Cricetulus griseus: one gene and its partners. The protein of the gene in region 1 purifies or fractionates together with the protein of each later gene. This does not show direct contact. Links are inferred from orthologs where the notes say so. Each region holds a gene or a part of one and is shown on either strand. Other genes may lie near its edges. The genes, in order: Tceal1, Usp11 and Kdm3a.

Evidence for each region.
Region 2: the proteins of Tceal1 (region 1) and Usp11 purify together in Homo sapiens (affinity purification with mass spectrometry; 4 studies listed by BioGRID, counting the BioPlex papers as one, with this or other methods). This does not show direct contact. The link is inferred for Cricetulus griseus from reciprocal best matches to the Homo sapiens genes TCEAL1 and USP11.
Region 3: the proteins of Tceal1 (region 1) and Kdm3a purify together in Homo sapiens (affinity purification with mass spectrometry; 3 studies listed by BioGRID and IntAct, counting the BioPlex papers as one, with this or other methods). This does not show direct contact. The link is inferred for Cricetulus griseus from reciprocal best matches to the Homo sapiens genes TCEAL1 and KDM3A.

What each region holds. Positions count from the first base shown.
Region 1 is NC_048604.1:43,693,176-43,696,965, forward strand, and holds Tceal1 (transcription elongation factor A protein-like 1), read right to left. Parts: upstream 2,560-3,790; 5' UTR 2,451-2,559; exon of another isoform or gene 2,447-2,450; intron 1,725-2,446; 5' UTR 1,695-1,724; coding exon 1,197-1,694; 3' UTR 644-1,196; downstream 1-643.
Region 2 is NC_048604.1:125,522,366-125,526,013, reverse strand, and holds part of Usp11 (ubiquitin carboxyl-terminal hydrolase 11), read right to left. Parts: intron 3,421-3,648; coding exon 3,247-3,420; intron 3,161-3,246; coding exon 3,002-3,160; intron 2,681-3,001; coding exon 2,456-2,680; intron 2,330-2,455; coding exon 2,246-2,329; intron 2,153-2,245; coding exon 2,058-2,152; intron 896-2,057; coding exon 689-895; intron 1-688.
Region 3 is NC_048601.1:63,329,538-63,333,748, forward strand, and holds the start of Kdm3a (lysine-specific demethylase 3A), read right to left. Parts: upstream 2,929-4,211; 5' UTR 2,791-2,928; intron 2,225-2,790; 5' UTR 2,195-2,224; coding exon 2,009-2,194; intron 1-2,008. UniProt on the Homo sapiens protein: Histone demethylase that specifically demethylates 'Lys-9' of histone H3, thereby playing a central role in histone code.

The DNA of each region.
Region 1 (3,790 bases):
ACAGGTATTACACCGTGAGGATATTAGCAGAATAGGATCCAGTGGAAACAACAGGACCTAGAAGATGGGAAGCTGTGCCTGGTAGGTATGGCAATGCATATGAATACAGAAGAACATGAACAGAATGTGAAACTCACTTGGAATCTCACAGGAATTTTGGATGAGCACCAGAGAGATTTCTTTAGGTGTTAATTTCTTGGCTCCAAAGGAATCTACAGAGGTTGGGAGGACCTACCAAAACAAAACAAAACAAACAGATCTCAAAGGATCCTTTTCTCATTTAGTTCCACAGCAGTACTGTAATGTGCGTCTTCCTATTATTTAACGTGGAAAATGTTTTTCCTACTGATAATAAAAATTCTCATTTGTATTTCTGCTTAAGAGATTCAGAAGAGGGGCTAGAGAGATGGCTCAGCGGTTAACAGCATTTGTTGCTCTTCCAGAGGACTTGGGTTCAAATCCCACCCATCCATATGGTGGCTCAGGACCATCTATAAATCCAGTTCCAGGGGATCTGACACCTTCTTCTGACCTCCATAGGCACTGGGCATACACTTGGTGTACCTGTATGTAGGCAAAACATCCATAGACATAAAATACAGTTAAAAAAATCTTAGAAAAGAGATTCAGAAGAAACATAGGATTAACTTTTAAGTTCTGATAAATATTTATTAAGGATCACATTGTCTTTATGAGCTGACTAATAAGCTTTGTTTTTCAGAATTGCTTCACTTTTTCATTATATTGTTTGTTATGCAACATAAAGAAAATGTATTCATCATGAAAAGTGAGACTTTACATGAAGCAAAATTTAAAAAGTATAAAATCACCTATTATCTTTACCACACAGATAACCAATGTTAGCCTTTACATATATAGTTTTTAGCTTTTCTTTGAATATTAATATATAAATGTGTTTTCCTTTTACAAAAATGGGATGCTATGTATATACCTTTGCTTTTATCACCTCACATATATAATGCATATCTTTCCATGCAAATGGATCGGACTCAGATTTTAGAAGGTTTAGGAAAAAAAAAAAAGAGCAATCCTGTGCCAGTTACAAGTCAAACACCTGAAATAAAACTGCACAAAAATTACAACCAAGAAGGGAAAAGGCATGTAAGAAGATGCAAACAGAGAGTCCAGGTAGCAATGCTATTATTATCAAGCAAAACAAAGAAAGGTGGAACACATTAAATAGGGTAAGGGCGACTCCGTTTTGCCTTCCAATGCATTATCATCAGTTTATTTCGTACTCTCTTCATCTCTTCCAACTCATCCGCTGCCTGTATCATTTCTTCATTACTTAAATTTCTCCCATGGATTTCTCCTCTAAATCGAGGGCGGAAAAGGGCTAGCCTTTCTTTGAAACTTCCCTCCTCTAGCTTGTGTTTGCCCACCCCACAGGGAGGTTGTTCCATGGGAGGACGGTCCTCGAACAGGTTCTTCTCTGAGAGGCACTCCTGGGGAGGACGATCTTCTGACAGCAGCATCTCTGGCAGCAGCTCAGGCAGAAGCTCTTCAGGAAAGAACTCCTCCTCTGAGGACTGCTCCTCTGAGGACAGATCCTCTGAGGACTGCTCCTCCTCAGAACACTGATTTTCAGGATACTGCTCCACGGGAGGTTGCTCTTCATCCGTCTTTAGAGTGCTCTGTGTTTGTTCTTCATTTCCTTTGCATGAGTTTTCCATGCTGAGAATTTTCTTCTTCAAGCAGTTATTCTTGAGACAAGAAAAAGGAGACTAGAGTCACAATACTTGGCCAGCTGGATCAACACCCTAGGATCCAGCTATGGGTTTCAATCCCTGCCTGTCCCTGATTGAGGCGAGTGTCTTTAAACCTTAGCTTACTCAGAGGCTCATGGGTTCTCCCGCCCGCGGCTGCGGAGCAGCCCCCTCCTTTCCGAAAGACCACCATTTTTCCCAGCAGGCCTTGCCACAAGGCCTCTCCTGCAGTGACAGGGGCGGAGCAGTGAAGTCCGCAGACTGTTCCCCTCCGTGGTCGGTCTCAGACTCGGATCCTGTCTCACTGCCCACCATTACCCCAACCTCTCACCCCTGTGGTCCCCTCTGAGTCGCCTGGGTGACACGGGCAAATCTACAGATAGACGCCAGACAGGGTAGGGGGCGGGGATAGAAGGAGGAGAAACAGACCCGGTGACGCACACCCCTTTTTGTAGGGACCAGCTAATCGCCCCCAAAGACTGCTCCCTTGGGGTTCACCTGAGTCATACTTCACGTAGAGCATCGTCCTTTGTACCCCACCCCACTCCCAAAACCACCATTTTCTGCACCGAAATCTTAGGCGGGGGGGGGAGGGGGGAGGGAAGGCGGGGCGGGGCTGCAGCATAGGTGGAAGATGGGATTCTGCCATGCAGGTACGATCCCACTGGTTACAAGGAACCTTTGACAATCACTAAATCTAGAGGATCCAGGGAACTTACTTACTTCTGCTTTCCTTCTCGACCAAAGGGTAATAGAAAGACGGTGTCTGGACAGGCAAAACGGACCGGGACGAGAGGGACTTGGGCAGACATAGGCTCCTGGTCACGTGAGGGGCGCGCGTCACTGCTGGGCTCAGATCCCTAGTAAGCACTTTGGCGACCATTTGCCAACACCTGCCAGAATCTTTTTACCTCAAACAAAACGGAATTTTCGCTTACCCTCCCCCCCGCCCACACACACTTTATTTGCCTTTTGTTGGTTACTGGAGGCGATTAGCATCTGATTCTCCAGGATCATTGTCTCCTCCCTGCTGCATCTCCAATGTTATGTCTCACTCTTACTTTCCACTTTTCCTCAGCTACTGAGGCTTCAGATTTTCCCCGTTCTCTAGAGCCTGCACTGAAATTTCACCATTTCACCCCCATAAATCAAGGTATCATGGTCAGGACAGGCAAGATGACAGATGCTGTAATCCCAGTACTTAGGGTATAGAGACAATAGGATTGCCTCAAATTGGAGGGTAGCTTCTTCTTCATAGCTAGTTCCAGGCCAGCCAGAACTACATGGAAAAATTCTGTCATCAAAACAAAACAAAACTTTTCAAGGGCACTGGAGAGATGGCTAAGCACTTAAGAGCACTTGTTCTTGCAGAGGACTGGAGTTTGATTCCCAACACCTACATAGTACGTTACAGCCATTCATAACCCTGTTTCAAGGGATCATATCTCCACAGACAGCAGGCACATGTGTGGTGCACAGACACAGATACAGTAAAGTCCACAATAAGATGAAATAAATAAATCTAAAAAAGTACCTTTCAAATACTAATTTTTATGCTTAACCCACATCCCCATCAGGTCCCATTTTTAATCTTTCATTTCTGTGATAGTTAACCTTTCATTTTTTTTCTTTTCAACCCATTTTTATTTTTGAGACCCTCAGTTATGCCTCAATTATGTCATAAATAGAAATTCTGGGATAAATTAATAGTCTTCCAATTCTACACCTCTAGAAACATTTACATCTGTAAAGTATATAAATCTAATGGCTCTATACATTGGATGCCATAAGTCAAAACACTCATGTGTTCATCTACATATAAAATAGTCAAGAGAAGTTTTTTTTTAATTATGTGAAGTGGGAGAGCACTTGGTGCACAATGTGGTATTATTCTTCACTCTCTATACTCTATACATCGGCATCATTCAATAGTTACTATTCATAGTGGAAGAAATAGATTTCATAGAAACCATAAATTCTTTTTATTATACAATTTTTTATTTAAACTAGAAACAATATTGTTTTACATGTCAATCCCAGTTCCATCTCCCTCTCCTCCTCCC
Region 2 (3,648 bases), about 82 Mb from region 1:
AGAAATGAACAAAAAGGCTAAGGATGCCAGTAGTAGCCTGGGGATAGATATTCATGTAGTAGTTAGGAGTGTGGAGATTAAGTCGAAAGCCACCGGTAAACACAGATATACAATCAATTACGAATTCAAATTGACCTCTGAGAAGACTTATGATGAATATTTTCCCTGTTTTTCAAGACAGACTTTCTCTGTGTAGCCTTGACTGTCCTGGCACTCACTCTGGAGACGAAGCTGGCCTTGAACTCACAGAGATCCACCTGCCTCTGCCTCCTGAGTGCTGGGATTAAAGGTGTGTGCCACCAATGCCCAGCAAGGATGAACTTTTGAATTAGAATGAAGAAGAAATTCATCTAATAACGTACCTTTCCATGGTAAGGACTCTGGATTTTAGATACAAGAATAAACTAGTAAAAATATATCCAAATCTCTCTGTAGAGACAATTATATACAAAATGAAATTGTCTCTATTTTGTCTTGTTCGCCTCTGTATTCAGTTTGGTTCACCAGTACCAAAGAGAAGCATTAGAGAAGCCAGAGGTCTAAAAATAGAAAAAGCCCCAGAAGTTCTACTACCATGTTCAATTTGAACTGTCATTTGGATGTGCCAAATACAGAACCCAAGTCTGATTATTGACCTTGGTCTCCTCACTCAAATACACCACCCTGATCCTAGGAAAGCGGTACTTACGAAAGCCGGTACATCAGGATGTTATATAGGCCTTCCCAGGAGAACCGGTCCCGGGGCACAGACACCAGGAGAGGGTGCCCAAAAAGTATCAGCCCATAGTAGGAGTTGTTGAAGTCTCGGGATTGGGTTCGCTCTCGCAGGTAAACAGGAACCACGATATCATCTCTTGAACCCTCAACAGGCTCAATCCGACCAGTCACCTCATATCTGTGTGTGTATGTGGGGAGGGGTGATTAATTTATTTTTGACTAAGGAATCCCAAGAAAGATTCCCTGACTTTGCCCTCCAGTTGCTCCAATCATTCACCTCAGTCCAAAAGAGTGTAGGGTTTTTTTCAGTTATTAGTGTGTGTGTTTGAGTATGGACATACTGACATACATGTAGAGGTGAGGATACACCTTTCAGAAGTCAGTTTCCTCCTTCCGTCATGGGTTCAGGTTGTCAGACTTGTGCAAGTATTTTTACCCACTGAGCCATCTTGCCTGCCTCCCCCAAATATTTTATCATTATTATTTTATGTGTATGGGTGTTCTGCCTATATGCATGTCCGTGTATCACGTGTGCCTGGTGACTGCAAGAGGCCAAAAGAGGACACTGGATCCCCTGGAACTGGAATTACAGATGGTTGTGAGTCTCTATGTGGGTGTTGGGAAATGAACCTGGGTCCTCTGGAAGAGTAGCCAGTACCCTTAACCACTGAGTTATCTGTCTACCCTTTCCCCAAAATATTTTAAAGGGTCTAAAAACCTGTGAAATATTTGATATTTTATGAACTACTAAGTGACTTCCTTAGCACTTTTCCTATATGCTGTTTTAGGAAGAGCTTGGGTAATATGGGAATACTGAGGGGGTTAATTTAAAAAAAAAAACAAAGATTAAAACATTTTTCCTAGGCTGGAGAGATGGCTCAGTGGTTAAGAGCACTGACTGTTCTTCCAGAGGTCCTGAGTTCAATTCCCAGCAACCACATGTTGGCTCACAACTGCCTTGAATGGGATCTGCATGCAGGCAGAAGACTGTATACATAATAAGTAAATAAATTCTTAAAAAAAATATTTTGTAAAAAAAAAAAAAAAAAAACATTTTTCCTGTGGAAAACACTTTGGTTTACAAAGAAAATTTCTATTTGCAAGGCACTGTTTTTCCAGGTCAGCTAGGGCTACATAGGGAGACCATCTCCCTGTCTCTGGCTCTCTCTATATATTTATTTACTTCTTTATGGGTATATGTACTGAATTGCAAGTACTAAGTATCAAATATTAAGAGTAGTCGTCTAACATGCTCTGGAGCTCTGGGTTCCATCCCCAGCAAGGCAAAACAAAAGGGGAAGGAGCTTCCTCTATCCACTCCCCTTAATCTTGTCACTCACACAAAGATATCATCCCGATCCAAGATGCTACTCAGAGGATCCTCCAGCTGGTAGAGCTTATAGAATCGGTGACTGAAGACATCAGCTACTATCATCTAGGGATAGAACAGGGGCATGAGAACAGTGCATGTGCCAGGACCTTCTTCCTTCAAATCCTACCTACCCAGTCTCCCTCTGCAAAGTCTTACCTTGTCTGGTGCAACACTTGTGTGTGTGGACAGAGCCACACACAGATCTGAAATGTTGCCTTTCTTGGGGACCACAACCCGGTGCTGAGGGAGAAAGAAGATCCAAAGACGATCAAAAGAGCTTACGGTAGCTTCATGCAGAAAACTCCGGGGAAAGTAATCAAATTCTGATTACATATCCTTCATTGTGTTCCCATACTCCCTCCCCACCTGTTCTGGCTTGCGGCGGGGATCCATGGGAACAAAGAAGACCTCCAAGACCCTCCTGGAGGAGACAGGCAGTGGGACACTGAGGTAGCAGAAGGGGTCAAAGGTCACAGACACATTGCCACAATCAGGGCACACCAGCGTAGACTTGAAGAGGCCATGGAAAGTATCCACAATCACAGAATCATTTCGTCGTTTGTGGTTTTGCCAGGCTTCCTGAGCCACTTCCTGTTGACAAGTTTCATGGTGTGTTAGCAGAGGGAAAGGGTGGGGATGGATTCATAGTGGTTGGGGGAAAGGTACTGTTGAAGTTTAGTGGCAGAACAACATCTAGGTCTATCTGGAAACTATGTTTACTTTCAGAGCTGGGATTTATGAAGGATAGGTGCCTGATTGGGGTTAACTCCAAAGTTATGGGAACAGACATGCTGCTATGACTAAGGGTGGGGTAAAGCTCAAGGTAGGGGAACGGAGGAAATGGTAAGGTGTTAGGTAGACCAGGGAAACCAGAGAATTCCTAAGGCCTTGTAGCTTTAATGGGTAGCCTACCAAATCCGGGCGCCCAGCACCATCGCACAGCTCAACATATTCTTTGTTTTTGACTCGATTGAGGTCCTCATGTAGCCCATCCAGAAGGAATGACAATAGTTCCTGTGAGTCATGCTGCTGGTAGCCCAGAAACTGGGATGCAAAATGGCCAACCTTGTTCTGAGGAGACAGTCGGGTGGTAGAGTGAGTAGGAGTTAGGAGAAGCAAGAGAAAAGAAAGTGGGAGCCCATGGGGTTGAGTCACACCTTGAAGACATTCGGCACAATGGAGCGGTGGTAGCCAGACCAGGTCTGCTTTACCAGATCTGCATAGGCCTCAGCAAGCTCACCCTTCATGCCCAGAGGGTTCCGGAAGTTGAGCTCCTCCAGGTAGCGGTTGTTGAGAAAGTACTCCGTGAGCTGTGGCACATTGCTGAGGCACTGTGGTAGTAGGGCCCAGTGAAAGAGGTAGAGGAGAGGTGAGGTGGCCCAAGTGAGAACAGAGAAGGAGGGAGGACAGGGAAATGGGAGAGAGAAGGGGAAGGGTTGGCAGTGTGAGTGCAGTAGAAGTATTGGGGAAAGATGTCAGTATCTCTGTAGGAGGAAATGGCAGTACCAAAGGAAAGAAGCAAGAACGGGGAGCAAGTAGAGGGAAAAGGTGTTGATACT
Region 3 (4,211 bases), on another chromosome or scaffold:
GGTTATAAAAATTTCTCAGTAAGGCAAAGTCCATCAATAACAAATTTTCTTGAACTGAAACCCCAGAATGCGCACTCGCAAACATGGATTCAAATACTGCCACGGCCATTTAGTAGCTAATTATGCCAGCCTGGATCAAAGACTTGTCTGAAAGTGAAGCTATCACCTCAGGGGCAGGAGGGGATATGGCCAAGAAAACACATACTAAGGACCTTTTACAGGTCCTTAATCCTAGAAGGAAATACCTAGGCTCCTGTCATCTTCCTAAGAACTAAAGACTATAAAGTTGAGATATTGCTCCCATTTAGGTTAGATCAAACAAATGTACTAGAATGTTTTCAACTTGGCAGATGAAAACACTACAAGCATGACTGAAATCTGGTACACAGGCCATTCTATGTAGAAAGGTTATTGGCCTAAGAAAATAGCCTGGTCATCCCCACACAACTCACTATCTCTAAAACCGGGTTTGGTAGCATGAGTGGGAGGGAAGAAAAGCTACACTTCACCGAGCATATAGGAGCAGCACCACTGTGGCAGCATGGTGCCACTCTCATCAGGCAGCATGATGGTAATGGGGAAGCCTCTGGAGGAAAACTTCCTAAGTGAGAATACAGACTACGCTAATTCCTAGGTATAAGGCCCGAAAGCTAATGAACTTAGTGTTCCCTAGGCACAAGATCACCATCTGTAAAATGGTATCAACAATACTTAGTAGCCCAAAGTACTGCTATAATGATCAAAAAAGAGTAGCTGTTAGTGATCACAAGGATGCTTGGAATGTGACTGAATGTCCAGTGGTCACTCTTCCCTTGCAGATGAATACAAGGCACTTGGTGAAAAGTGTCAATACATAACCAAATATCCTTTTCCAATGATCCTCTGAAGACTCATAATAGTATAGGCATGCACTGTCAAGTCTGTATTCAAATGAAGGGTTTCAGAAATCAGCATTCAACTGACAATGGCTAAAACTTGCTTCCTTTGAGTAGTTTTCAAGAAAAGGGTAAAAACACAAGGAAGCATAGATCCCAAAGCATGTATATTACTCAGGGTAGAAATGTCTTCTGTCCTGACAAACTTCCTTTATTACCACTTTGGAGTCTTTGTTAAGAATCTTTCCTCAGATGTTTTTGCACAAGGGAGTCTTTGATGGCACAATGGTTTCCTCACTGCTTATTTCCAGACTATCTTTTCACACCAATACTTGTATCAGAGAGTAGAATTCATCCTTTCAAAAGATGGAACTGAAAAAGCTTCCAATGTCATTCGCATTAAAAGTATGTTCACTGGTCACACCAGTTCCCTTTCTCTCCTTCCTCCCAAACACCCACATGTAGTATTTCTGAAGGCATTCCTCCCAAACACCCTGTATGGGACAGCTCCACCCAAGGCCTCCATATATGGTCCTATCCATACCAACCCAGCTTCACTGACATCAGGAACTCACTCCTGCCTCACTAATCACACACCAGCAAATACCCACTCGTACAGAACTAAGCTCCTCCCTCTACATTCATACTTCATTTCCAAGCTGTAAAGTTCAAAAAGTTGAGTGAAGAAATAAAGAACAACACCCGCACCTCAAATAGTCTATTTTCAAAGCACTCGATAATTAATGATTTCAAATGTCATCCACTTCTCTAACCTATTACTAATAAACAATACTACTCCCGTTGGGGGCATAATCAGACAGTCCTAGTGGGACCCAGCGCCTGCATTAATGAAGCATGTCTGAACAATCCTAAACCCATTATTAATCTCAGGCAGCTGGAGCTCTAGGCCAAACACACCTTGACGCTACACATTTCAAAGACTTTCAAGGTCTAGATTCTGCACCTTTAGATCACATGCCAACTTTCTAGTGGCCCATTTCAGAAAAGGGAGGGAGGGGAGTTTGACTGCCGCGTTACCAAGGTAACTGAAAACCGTCTGACTGCCCAGCCCCAGGAGATGGGTTTTTTGTTTGTTGGGGAGGAGGGGGTGTTTTGTTTTGTTTGTTTTTTACCTTCAGATCTTTCTTGGTAACGTCAGTGTGGGAAACAGCTCGAATGGTCCCCGACAGCCAGGGCCACTCTGCGACTCGCTCCAAGTCCCAGCTGTCGTGGGCGCCGTCGCTGCCTTCGGCTGCGGACAGGCTAAGGAATCGCTTCCCCACCAATACTGGCCAACTTTCTCCCAGCGTGAGCACCATGGTTTCCACGCCAGCAGGAAGGGCTCCTCCCTGCAAAAGGCACAAAAACAAAATGCGATGGGGGCGGCCGCGGTCGGAGGCGGCCCGAAGAGCCGAAGCGCCGACGGGGACCGGTGGAGTGACACCCCCGCGGGTGGACCCCGCACCCCAAGCTGCCGCCCGCGCCTCCCCACCCCCCTCCTGTCCTCCCCCGCCGCAAACACCGGCCCGAGTGCCGCGTGACCCTCTCGCCCTACCAACTTTCGCTTTTTCCAAACCTTTCAAAGCTGGACGCCGAGGGAGAGAAGGGAGGGCTGAGCCGCAGCGCCAGAGCTTTTTCCTAAGTGTCCGTCCCCTCGCCCCAGCAAAGAAAAGGCTCCCCCAGAGCAGAGGGACCGTCCCAGCGGCCGGTCCCCGCCCCGGGCGGCCTCGGAGCCGCCGTGGACTAGCTCGCGACTCGACACTTGCCGCGCCCCCCGCCCCCGCTTCCGGGCCGCCGACTCGGGCGCACCCCCGCCCGGCCTGCGCCGCGAACCCAGGCGACGCGGCGAGCGCCCGCGCGGGCCCTTCACCCTTCTCCCCCGGCCTCCCGCAGCCGAGGCCCGCGGCGCGCTTACCCCGCCTCCCGCCTCCCTGAGTCACCCGCGACGGCGGCAACAGAGCCCAGCCGCCCAGCCGACTCCAGCTCTGACTTGGTTCAAGAGCTCTCTCTCACAAGACACGCACAGCCTCCCGGGCCCGCCCCCTCGGAGCCGCTGCCGCCGTTTATTGGCTGAACCGCGGGGGCCGGGCGGGGCAGCTAAAGAGACCGTCCGCTCCTATTGGCTATTCTGAAGAGGGCGGGGCGAGGAAAAAAAAACAATTCCTTGGCTGCCTCCTCCCTTTCCCCCGCCCCCCCCGACTCGAAGCCGACCCCCCATTAGAGCGCGCAGAACGCAGGCGGAAGATCCCTCCGCCGCTGCTCCATTCTTCCATTTGTTGCCTCGCGCTACGCAAAAAAGTCCGGCCGAATCGGTTATCGACTTTGAAGCCAGACGGAAAACCGCACGGGCTCGCAGATAAGACTGAATGGGGAGACCCAGGACCGTGCGTGCCGATTGGGCTACGCGTGAAGCGCGTAGGATGTCGACCGAAGACGGACCTTCCAAGAGGCGGAAGAATCTCACGGGAAAGGGGCGGGGGCGGGACACAGCCTGCGGGGGAGGGACGGTACAGGGACGTGCGGTTTCAGGCGTACGCAGTTAGGGGGAGGAGCGACTCGGCTCCGGAGGCTGGTGCGCAGGCGCCGGGAGGGGCGGGCTCTGGAGCTTGGGCTGATGGGTGAAATGGCCGCTGGAGGCGCAGGCGCACGTGGTGCGGGTCGTGACTGTCTAGGTCCGCCATTTTGAAGGATGAGCGAAGAAAGAGTAAATGGAAAACGATGTCGTGCACTCTAGGGGCGAGCGATCCGCCAGCTGCGGTGTGCCGCGCGTTTCCTTAACGTGAAGTGGGTATAAGGGGCTCTGAGACTTGACGAAGAAACTGAAAAAGAAGGTGGAGTTGATGACCAAGGTAACAATGGAAGAGAAGGTGACTTTGAAGGACAAAAGAGAGAAAAGATGGCTATGTGGTTTGTACCAGAAGATTATTGGTTGAATGAAGAATTGCAATGAACGATGGAACACTTCTTAATGAAGCCTGGTGCCTGACCCAGCATCATATTTAGCAGTCCTTAACATAAAAAGACTGGAAATTGCCTGTTTGACAATAGTGAAAATGGGACATCAGATAAAAGTTCAAAAAATGTATTAAGGAATGAGTGAATATACAACGGAAATTAGTACCAAATGTTCATTTTGAAATATGCTTGGCCTGAGAACATGACATTAGAAAGTTAAAGCTTGAATACTGAAAAATTAACTAAGTTGAATGTATAATATGCAGACCATTAAAAGGTGGGAAATGGAAGGAAGAAACCTGTCCGCTTCAACAAAAGGCAGATATGGGAACAAGAAAAACAAAAGAAAGAAGAAGAAAGTATGATAAAGATAAAATGTCT